Arabidopsis thaliana: one gene and its partners. The protein of the gene in region 2 interacts with the protein of the main gene of each other region in a pairwise test. Each region holds a gene or a part of one and is shown on either strand. Other genes may lie near its edges.

Region 1 (3,756 bases), on a different chromosome or scaffold from region 2:
ATGTTTCCATGAAGCTGCTCCATTTGAGCTCCCCACCCGCCAATCTTTTGCAAAGCAACTCCTTGATATCTAGAATTATTCCTTGAGAAACCAGAGCTCTGTCGCCGAAGTACTTGCACAACTTCCTCTTTGGAAAGATTCGCCATCTGTAAAGTTTGAAAACCAGATAAGAACAAATCAAAGCGTACATGTCTTCATTTGTACATCTGTAATCAAAACCTGCTTGAGATCCTCTTCATAATCGCCAATAACGAAATTGATGTCAGCTTCCAGACCCCGGAATTTGACAGCAGCTCGATCATACGCCCTACACCAACGAAAGTTGAACTTAGGAAACAATTGTATCATAACGAAAAAACAGTTGAGTGATCAATAAGATCAAACAAAAAAATATCATTTCCAAAGGCATTACCTAGCTGCAGCATGGGCAGTATCAAATCCACCTATTGAATTCAAAAGTTAAAGCTTTTATTAGAGAACTAAGATCCCAGCAGAAATCAGTTCACAGTAGTACAGCCATTAGAATCCATACCTAAATAAACTTGTTTACCGCAATCCCTGCAACCATGAAAATTGACAAAAAAGAAACTTGTAGATTAATACAAAATCTAAACCAAGCTCTTCCATTTTCGACCAAAGATCAACAACTCATCTAAGACCTATCTAAAAGATAAATCAATCAGTAGTAGATATACCAGATATGCGATTCCCATCTGCCTGTCCTCCGATAGAAAGTGACGCCTCTATACTGAGAACTCTTAGACCTAGGACCTCTCCTGCTTTTCTTCACCGGCTGTGATGGTGGCTGCATCACCCGTGAAGCATCGCCACCACCGCTCCCGCTACCTATAAAGTCTCCACCTTGTTTCCCCCTCTGGAAGGAAATATCAACGGTGCTCCTTGAACTTTGAGCGCTCGAATCCATAAAGTTCATGCCTTTAGCAACAGGAAAAAACTCCTTAGTCATCATCACAGCACTTCTTTCATCATCATCTTCTTCTTCTTCTTCTCCTCCTCCTTTCAGTATCTCAAATTGAAACTTGACCGTTCGTGTAGAGCACAACTCATCTTCACCATCTATACAGCTAGAAGCTTCAGCATTAACAACAGAAGAGTTCGACGTCACCGATTCATCCATCTGATTCAAAGAAACCCCTTTAACAGTAATCGAATCTCGTTCGTTCTGAGTAGACTCGGTCGAGTCGACGTCGAGATTGAGATCCAGCATCAATCTCAAAAAAGTCAACAAAAAAGCAAACAAAACTCTGAGCTTTCACAACAACAACAAAAACTATTTCTTCAAGCTCTTACTTACACATTGATCAATAAATTCAACGATCGCCGTCGATTTGAAATAAACAGAGCTCATAAATCACATTACATAGGTGAAAATCAGCACGAGTATGGAGAAATCAAACGGAGATTTAGATTCTGAAATCAATCAAAAACACGACGGAGGAGGAGAAGGAATAATAACCAAAGAGAAAGAAGGAAAAAGCTCAATCACTAAGGAGAGAAATGAGATTGAGGAGACATGGAGATGAAGAGTTGAGTATTGGTCTATGGGGATTTGAAGAGACAAAATAGCTATCGCCGGACGAAAGAGATAATCGTCGGCGATTAGAGAAAATAAAAAGAGAACGGGGAATGATGATGGGACGTAAGCCTGTGGGTTAGTGGCAACAAAGGAACATTTTAACATTTATTTATTCCTTCCATCTTTCTCGGCAATTTGATACCGGTTTTGCCTGTTTCCGGTTTGAAGTAAAAACGTGCTACTTGTTTTTGTTTTATTAGCTTGGTTTAAATTTATGATTAGTGCTTTTACAGTTTTACTATGATAAATTTACGGTTTAAACTGTATGTGTTAAGCTTTTCTGTGATTTCTTTACCAAGATAAGTTATTAAATACAGTATTAGTACTAAATAGATCTGTTAAGGCCTAGGGACAATGAGGTGCATTTTGTTCATGGAATGAGGATTTAATGGATGTGTTCATCTTGGTTAAATCAATTTGAAGCGTGTTCTTCGAAACATTTTGTAAACACATCTGAAAATCATCAAATTTAATTGGGGTTTCACTTTTTATCCTTGAACAAACTCAACTAAAGTGATTTAGTAATTCAAATTTATAGAATGAATCAAACGAAATTCGTTTTTGTATCCTATATAGTATATCTTATTATTAATCTGCAAACAAAGATTGGTAAAGAAAAGCGAATCTACACTATTATATTCACAACTTTGAAGACACATAAAAACCAAAAAACACTTTGAAGTCACATATTCATAGCTTTGAAGACAAAGCATTTGTTTTCATTTAATGGCGGGTCCTATATTTGCAGCTACGTCCTCCTCACAAACAAAAATCTGTAAAGACTTAAAAGAGTGAGATAGAATAATATGACTTTTTATTGATTTATATGGATAACAAGTATCCAACCAACGTAACAAATGTGTCACATGTAAAAAAAAATGTGTCACATGTTAGAAAAAGGTGTAGAAGCTAGCTATAATCAACAATTACATGCATAAAGTAACAAAAGTTATATCATTTTAAGAAGTTGTTATTATTACAAAAACGAATGTGTATGGAAAATAGTTAAAGATGATGGGGAAAAAAATCACTAACATCAGGTTTGATAGCTTTAGTTTTTCTTACTGGACATAGTGATGAAATTTTGTTTTAATTTCTAAGGTTTTGACACATTAATTACTATTGAAATTGAATGATGTATGTTATCTTCGCCTTGTTTGTAGCCAAGTTTTAGTAAGGCCTTGAATGAGTGTGGTTTTTAAACTAGTTTTTGGTTTTAATTTTTTCTAAAATCTATTTTGTAGCCATTCAAGATTTTGAGAAAACAAGTTTTCCTAAAATATAGGAAATCTAGTTTTTGAGTGTTTTAACAATTTTTCAAAGAAAACCAAAATCTATGTTTTGGGAGTTTCTCTCTCAAAAACAATCGATCACATTTTTTATTTTATTTTTAGATTTGTTTTGTAAAAAAAATACTATCCATTAACATAAAAACCAAAATCTAAACAAATTACCATTCAAGTTTTTTAAGAAACTAAAATCTACACCAAAAACAAAAACCAAGAAAATCAAAAACTAAAAACCAAAAACCAAAATCCAAAATCCAAAAACCATTTTAAAAACTACAAACATTCATGGCCTAAATAAAAATGAAGCATGTGTTTCCTAGTTCCTACAATATCACATTGTAAAAATCTATCAAGGCTAGAGAAAATTATCTCTGCATCAACTGTGTCTCAATTTTCTTTTAGATTTTCATTGAATGAATAGCTATAAGTAGAAAAAAAACACATATCCGATCAAACGTTGATAACACAAACATATTGTATCAAATCTTATGGTATCTTGTATTCATTAGTATTGTCTAAATCTCTAAGACTACTACATAGCTTGAGAGCAATGTGATACAAAGAGATCAACAAAGAAATGGATAGGTTTCCAAAATGGATAATTTCGAAAGTCTAAAACAAAATATATTTTGAGTACAAGAAGACATAGGAAAGAACAAAAGCCAATAAAGGGGGATTCTTTTACAATCAAAGGAAATTATTGTTTATTAAAAATAGAAATAAAATGTACGTAACAACGTATTATGTTCTTAACACAGGTTACGGGCGAAAAAATGAAAATGACCTAAAAATATCTATTCTTTGTGTCCATACGAATCTCTTTTTTCTTTGGAAATGTTTATTGAGTGGGGTAGGTCAAATGAACATTCC
Region 2 (3,756 bases):
GTTTCTGTCGCACTCCTGCTTTTGCTTCACGTCGTCATATTATTCTACAGCCGGCCGTCTCATTTTTATTTTGTAATTGTTATCATCTGAGCCGGATTTTACCCAACTCAAATCATTCCACTATTTGAAATTAGATTTTTCTTGTAATAGTTAATTTCCAAGTAAAATCGAAAGTTATCAAACCAATTCATATCAGTTTGTTACTAAAAAGCTAATAACTGTTAACCTGCAAAATCCTTTTATGTACTTTGTTTTATGGGTAATATTCAAATTAGAATAAATTTTGTGTAAAATCTGTGGGTTCTTCTTATTTAAAATCTGTGGGTAACTTTAAATATTGGGAAATTTACTAATGGAAAGGCATAAAGAAATGAGGACCAGCCACGTCATCAAATCAAAGTATCACATTCCTCTTTTCTTTTTATTTAAAGAAATTAAATAATAGAAGAAGAAGATACCAAAACTCTCTTTTTCTGTGCAAACACTTTGGAGGATTCTTCTAGGCTTCTTTCTACCACAAACACAAGAGCGCGTTTTCTTCACGCCGGCGAACAACGTCAGAGTCATGGCCACCGGAGATGGGAAATCGGTGATGGTCGTCGGAGTTGACGACAGCGAGCAGAGCACTTACGCCTTGGAGTGGACGCTCGATCGTTTCTTCGCTCCTTACGCTCCCAATTATCCTTTTAAGCTCTTCATCGTCCACGCCAAACCTAACGCCGTCTCCGCCGTTGGTCTCGCTGGTCCCGGTACGCTCTTTGCTTTCACTCTCGAATCTACTCTTCTAGGGGTTCTGTTTTGGGCAGCGATGGGGAGAGATCATTTAGGTTTTGTTAATCTGTGTGTTTTAGGAACTGCGGAGGTTGTACCTTATGTTGATGCTGATCTGAAGCATACCGCTGCTAAGGTTGTCGAGAAAGCCAAAGCAATTTGTCAGAGCAGATCGGTACGATCTTGCTATTATCAAACATTCAAATTCGTTTTATGTGTTTCTTGGATTTTATAATCGTCATCATGTGTTGTATTGGACTCTATTAGATGAGTTTGGTAATGTGAATGTGAATCTCTAGCACATTTAAGAGCTTCAAGCTAAGTAGCACTGGTTTTTCTTATAGTAACTATCTATCTTTGGTTAGCAACTATCTTCTTCTTTTCAATCATCATTCCTAGGTTTGTTGTGTAGGTTCATGGCGCGGTGATCGAAGTTTTCGAAGGTGATGCAAGGAATATCCTATGTGAAGTTGTAGATAAGCATCATGCTTCTATTCTTGTTGTGGGAAGCCATGGATATGGAGCTATCAAGAGGTATTATTTCATTCAGCCTTAATTCTTATGATCAATCTTTCAACTATACACCCATTCTGATTCACTTGTCGGTTTGTGTGGCAGGGCGGTTCTCGGGAGTACGAGTGACTACTGCGCTCATCATGCTCATTGCTCGGTGATGATCGTGAAGAAGCCTAAGATCAAGGTCTGAAACCTAAGGGAAGGCTACTCGGTCAAAGCAAAGTCTCTGCATAGTCTTCTAATTCAGAAGAATAAAGTGAAATAATATTAGCTTGATGTGAAACAACGATTCAAGACAATATACATTTGCATCTATATGTGTAATTGTTTACTACATACAATGTTTTGGTATCCTTAGACAATCAATATTCGTGTGTTATAATATGCTAATCTTTCTCATAACAAAATGGATGTGAAAGTTATAATAAACTTCATATGAAAGAGACTAGAGAAGAAAACAAATCAACTAAATAGAGATTAATGATTTAAATGAACAAATTTATAGTTTGGTTGTTGGTTCAGATGGATGGATGGTTTGATGATCATCTATCCAAAACTAAAGTAATAAAATAATAATAAAAAATTATCCACAATGGGAGAGGAAAGAAAAGAAAAGGGAGAGTCCAATGTCATTGTCCGGTTTTGAACCACGTCATCTCTAACAGGTCGGACGAGAGAGAGAGAGAGAGAGAGAGGAAGAGGAAGGATAGATTTACCGCATCGGCGTTCCAAAAGGCAGACGAACTCGGAGAGACAGATAGCGATAGCGAGACATGGTTTCTCATTGATTTTTGTTTGACAATCCTTTCTTTTCTTTTTTTTTGTTCTTTCGAAAAACGAAAATTTTCGTTGGTTCCCTCCGATTTGGCCTGCTGGTGAAGATATGGCCGGAGCTAAAGATTCGGGTTGCGATGATGATCTCCGAATTGCTGGTGGATGTGACCCTGGAAAACGCGGGAACCCGGAGGATTCCTCGTCTCCTGTCGAAGTCTCGTGCTCGATTTGCCTCGAATCGGTGCTCGATGATGGTACCAGATCCAAGGCTAAGCTCCAATGTGGTCACCAGTTCCATTTGGGTATTTCATTCCCTTCCTCCATCTCTTACCATTTTGCGTTCCCTCCATCACAGTTTGATGATCCGATGGCTTTTTGCTTGTACAAGCTTTTGTGCAATTATCTGATGGTAGATTTGGACGATAATTGAATGAATTTGAGAATATAGATGGATTCCTAATCCCTTGCTTTGTTTACAAGCTTAGATTGCCACGACTCTGCAGTTGGTTGATCCTAGAAATGATCGAGTTCTGACAAATGTGTGTCGTAACTTGTGAATCGGTTTCTTCTCTTGTGTAGATATAGAATGAGGCTTGCTAGTTCTATTATCTGGCTGCTGAATTTGTTGCTATTTTCGGCTTTCCCTTTAGCAGCTTGTTTTTTGGTTTCTTGCAGATTGCATTGGATCAGCATTTAACATGAAAGGAGCCATGCAATGCCCTAACTGTCGCAATGTCGAAAAGGGTCAGTGGTTGTATGCAAACGGTTCTACTCGCCCCTTTCCAGAGTTTTCCATGGAAGATTGGATCCCTGAAGAAGACTTGTACGGTTTAAGCTATCCGGAAATGGTAAAAGCTCACTACTTTGTGCAACGATATGCTTTCTTTTCGTGTACATGAGAACTGTGCTTTTATCATATAACCTCCTTATGAGAGATCGCTTATCCTGACATTTTTACGGGGTTTGCAGCAATATCGGGTCCATTGGTGCCCGTTTGGTGAACTCTCTCAAGCAGCAGCTTCTTTCGAGTAAGCCTACAACACCTTTACCATGGTTTTTGCTATTATCTCTCTTTTCTAAGGCTTTTGATCCTTCAAACGCGAAAGCTAGAATTGACTTTTGCTCTGTGTTTCAGGGAACTGGAACCTGCAACCACTACATGTAAGTTAGACGCTGATTGTTCTGTATATAATCATTTCATTTTGTCTAGCAATCCGTTTATAATGTCAAAACCCATATTTCTTCCTTAGATCATACTGAGTTCCATGGACATCACGCCGCTGCTGTGAATCATTCGTATCTTGCATATGTTGGACCTGGCCCAGCCGCTACCCCGAGAACTAGCGACAATAACAGCACAGATGATCATCCCTGGAACAGCCACTCTAACGATCACTTTCACCAGCTTCCTGTTGCCCCCCAGTATCATCACCATTCCCCATCGTTTTCACTACCCGCTGCTCATGTGGTTGATGGTGAAGTTGACTCTTCAGCAGCACGAGGCCTACCTTATGCGCATCCATTTCTTTTTAGTCACCGGTTAGCTTCTCAAACTCCCTATTGCTCTCAACTTCTTGCAGAGTGTTTTACAATATTCTTTTGGAATTGGGCATTGTAGGTCTAATCAAAGGTCCTCACCAGCAATTAACAGTTACCAAGGAAGCAGCACCCAAATGCGTGAACAGCATCATGCTT
Region 3 (3,756 bases), on a different chromosome or scaffold from region 2:
ACACGTGTCATCTTAGTCTACCTCACATTAATCTAAAGGAACACTGTTATTTACGGTTTCTATTCAACAGCTAAAGCCCACCGAGATACTTTCTCTGCTCGCAGCTACATGGGTCACAAATCGGATCTATGCAATCAAATGGTGTTGTTGCACAAGTTGTTTGGTTCTCTTGAAATTTTATAAAGTATACATTTTGATGTGGTTTGCTGGATGTACTAGCAATCTTCTCTTGTATTCATGCTTATGCTCTCGATGTAGACTAAACTGGCGCATTTGTTTATACTTTATATATTTTATAATTTATGTAATAAAAGAATTTTTTTATGTGATGTTATTGTTTTTATAATTCTTGTCACATGAAGGCGATGAAAATTTTGCTTTCTCGTTTAGTTTGCTATTAAGATGACCTTATTATTGTTGTGTGCTTTGGGATATCTAAACCGATATTTAAATTTAAGTATTTTTAAAATCGAAGTTGCTTTATTTTCTTTTCGTCATAAGGGTTCGTATCATTTATAGAAGATTCTTTTTAGATTAAGGCTTGGAATCGATTCCCCTCAACTGTGTCACTTTTTTTTTTTTTTTTTTTTTTGCACACACTTTTATGGCAAAAAAGAAAACCGAATTTCTATGAGCCGGGGGAATGAGTCAAGAGTTCAGTAAACCAAGAAAAGAGAAATGAAAGAAGTAAAAGCTGGTCCCTAAAAGAGAATTCTCTTCGAACTATATAAATAGTAACATCCGGGTACATGTGTGATCAGTGAGTACACACCGACCCCCACGTACGTTCGTAATGAACCCAATTCCCTGATAACTTTCACCTAGTTTTAGATTTTTTTTAGTTACTTATCATAAATTTTACCATGACCCATTTTCTGCTCCATAAATGTTGTACGTGTCTGTTTCATTACTACAGTATTGTTTATTTTTTACAATTGTTTTTAAAAAATAAATTGAAACGGGTCTTTCATTTATTTAGATCAAAGGTTGTCCAAGAGTTTTAGAAGAGCGACGACATCACAAAAATTTGTTTCATGATCAAGATCCCGTGGGCAAATAGATCCTTAAAGAATCTAATCCATATGAATCAGAAAAGGTAAAGATTAACGGAACCGAGACAAGACATGATTAATTCTTTTAATAAAAACCAATTTGATCAAAAACTTAAATTATTAGTATCGAAAAGAAAACTGTACCAAACTAACTAATATGTTACATATTATATGTACTACCTAGATTAGGTTGAGAAAGCTATAGAATTTCTTTTAAAATCGAAAAACTGAAAATCTCAATGAAATTGGAATTGAAAAAAATCGTAAGTCCTATATATTAATTAAGTGCACTATTTGGAAAAGCACTTGTGGGAATTTAATAAGAAACAAAAGTAGATATCACAGGAACCAGGCGGAACAATGGTTTTGAAGGAAGTTTGTTGGGGAAATGAATATATACAAAAAAAAACTAATTTATTGCATTTTGTTCAAGGACCTATTTCATTGTGACCAAATTTAGCAAAAAAACAGTGGCATTTTCGTGAACTAGTAATTTTTCAGAGTTTGTCAAAAAAAAAAAAAGTATTTTTTCAGAAAGTATTGTGTACCAGATAAAATTACACAAAATAAACTACCATATTTACGAAAATGCCACCCATCCACTATGTAAATTAGAAAAACCAAAATATGAATATGGAGAAGTACATTTTCTCGGAGAAAACTATATACTTAATTAGTAATTTATCAAAATATGAATACGAAGCTTTTATGTTATGTATTCGTGTATATATATATAATCGAAGTCAATAATTTAACCTCCAACAACCTTGCGTCTGTCTAAGCATCTATCATAGATCATGCATTATAGATCCATAATCTTCATCCGATACAATCTAACACAATTAATTCCACACCGTTAGTGAATAATATTGCGACTTTTACATATAATATTATATTCAATCCGTTCATCATTCTTAAGTCTTAAGAGACCAAGGATAAGCTATCAACCTTTCTTTAGCTCTTTGATAATTAGAAGCTATCAATCAACCTTTCTGACATACAACAAATAGAAAATTTAATGAATTGCCATAAAAAATAAGAACCAATCAGTTTTATATAAATGTTTATCTATCTCTCTAAAGCCTCATAACTCTATATATCGCCCAGTCTTTTTATCTCTCTGACTCTCTCTCTATGGACGAGGCTACCGGAGAAACAGAAACTCAAGATTTCATGAACGTCGAATCCTTCTCTCAGCTTCCTTTCATTCGCCGTCCTAAAGATAAGAACCCTAAACCCATTCGTGTCTTCGGAAAAGATTTCACCGGCAGAGATTTCTCTATTACTACCGGTCAAGAAGACTACACCGATCCTTACCAGACCAAAAACAAAGAAGAAGAAGAGGAAGAAGACCAAACCGGAGACAACAGTACGGACAATAATAGCATCAGCCACAACAGGAGATTCGAGTGTCACTATTGCTTTAGAAATTTTCCTACTTCACAAGCCCTAGGTGGACACCAAAACGCTCACAAACGCGAACGTCAGCTTGCCAAACGCGGTGTTTCCTCTTACTTTTATCATCCTGACAATAACCCTTACAGTTACCGTCATTACCCGTCGTGGACCAATGGTCCGTTAACCGCGGCTAGGTCCTATGGAGGATTTTCTTCTGGTCCTAAGCCGTCGGGGTATTATACACGACCCAGCTATGGGAGTCAGTTAGGACTATGGCGTCTACCGCCTCGCGTTCAAGGCGTTTATAACTCAAACGCAGCGTTTACTAGTAATGGCTCTTCTTCTTCTTCTAATTCGACTTTACCGTTGTTGACCCGTTCTCAAACTCAACTATCATCGCAAGTGGGTGGCTCCGCTGCTCAGAACAGAATGTCATCGTACGGTTACGGATTGAGCCCTAACGTGCAAGATCATGTGAGTCTCGATCTTCATCTTTAAAGATTTGAAAACAAAATAAAACTCTTATTGAGTGTTATGTAACTTAGTGCAAGAAAAAACAACCTAAGTTATTGAATATTACGTAATCTTTAACGATTAGACTTCTTATTATCTATACCTATTCCCTTATTGAATGTTTTGTAAGGTAAGAAACGGCACGATGTGTAAGATTCACGGCATCGATCTTTCTTTTTTTACCCATACGTGCTTGAATGAAGGAAGGGAATTTATGAATTTACGTGTCCACATTTAATATAGCTTCGAACACTATCGTTTTGGTTCAGGGAAATTGTCAGTAATAGACTCATAGCAGTGCTTACTAGTTACTAGGGTATTTAACTATAACCGCACAGTGACTCAGATAGAATTTCAACGATAAAATGATAGAATCTTTACTGTACGGAACTAACAAGTAACAAATACAAAAACAAAAATTAAACCTCTCGAGTACAAATCTTTTTACGAGGGTTTGAAACGAATCTAATGGACACTGTACTCATCGCCATCTCCTTGAAACAAATAAAACTCAAGATGGGTAATAAGTAGCTAGGTAATAATTTTAGATGATGCCAATGATGATAATTTGGTGCGTGTGGGTAAGTGAAGACAATGGACAAGACAAAAGGGTATAGAGAGAAACAAAGTGAGTGAAGTGGTCCATAAACACACAGATGTAGAGTTTACGATAGAGATTTCTCATCTGTACTTAATGTAATTACTATTCTCGTAACTTGCAATTTCGAGTAAGAACATAAAGAAGGAGCTAAAGCAAAGCAAAATTCCTCAAGCTTTCTACTTTTGTGTTTAT

The links.
Region 1: the proteins of RFI2 (region 2) and TOE2 interact in binary tests that used the Arabidopsis thaliana proteins (3 or more experiments, as listed by UniProt).
Region 3: the proteins of RFI2 (region 2) and GIS interact in binary tests that used the Arabidopsis thaliana proteins (3 or more experiments, as listed by UniProt).

The regions. Positions count from the first base shown.
Region 1 is NC_003076.8:24,205,625-24,209,380, reverse strand, and holds the start of TOE2 (target of early activation tagged (EAT) 2), read right to left. Parts: upstream 1,693-3,756; 5' UTR 1,229-1,692; coding exon 696-1,228; intron 559-695; coding exon 533-558; intron 444-532; coding exon 413-443; intron 308-412; coding exon 220-307; intron 147-219; coding exon 1-146.
Region 2 is NC_003071.7:19,552,766-19,556,521, reverse strand, and holds the start of RFI2 (RING/U-box superfamily protein), read left to right. Parts: upstream 1-1,874; 5' UTR 1,875-2,170; coding exon 2,171-2,363; intron 2,364-2,736; coding exon 2,737-2,909; intron 2,910-3,030; coding exon 3,031-3,089; intron 3,090-3,196; coding exon 3,197-3,222; intron 3,223-3,311; coding exon 3,312-3,600; coding exon of another isoform or gene 3,601-3,679; coding exon 3,680-3,756. Other genes in the region: AT2G47710 (Adenine nucleotide alpha hydrolases-like superfamily protein), read left to right, coding at 566-749, 852-946, 1,184-1,305, 1,390-1,477. UniProt on the Arabidopsis thaliana protein: Mediates phytochrome (phyA and phyB)-controlled seedling deetiolation responses such as hypocotyl elongation in response to red and far-red light. Required for light-induced expression of LHCB3 and CHALCONE SYNTHASE (CHS).
Region 3 is NC_003074.8:21,506,037-21,509,792, reverse strand, and holds GIS (C2H2 and C2HC zinc fingers superfamily protein), read left to right. Parts: upstream 1-2,053; 5' UTR 2,054-2,186; coding exon 2,187-2,948; 3' UTR 2,949-3,221; downstream 3,222-3,756. UniProt on the Arabidopsis thaliana protein: Probable transcription factor required for the initiation of inflorescence trichomes in response to gibberellin (GA). Mediates the induction of GL1 expression by GA in inflorescence organs and is antagonized in its action by the DELLA repressor GAI.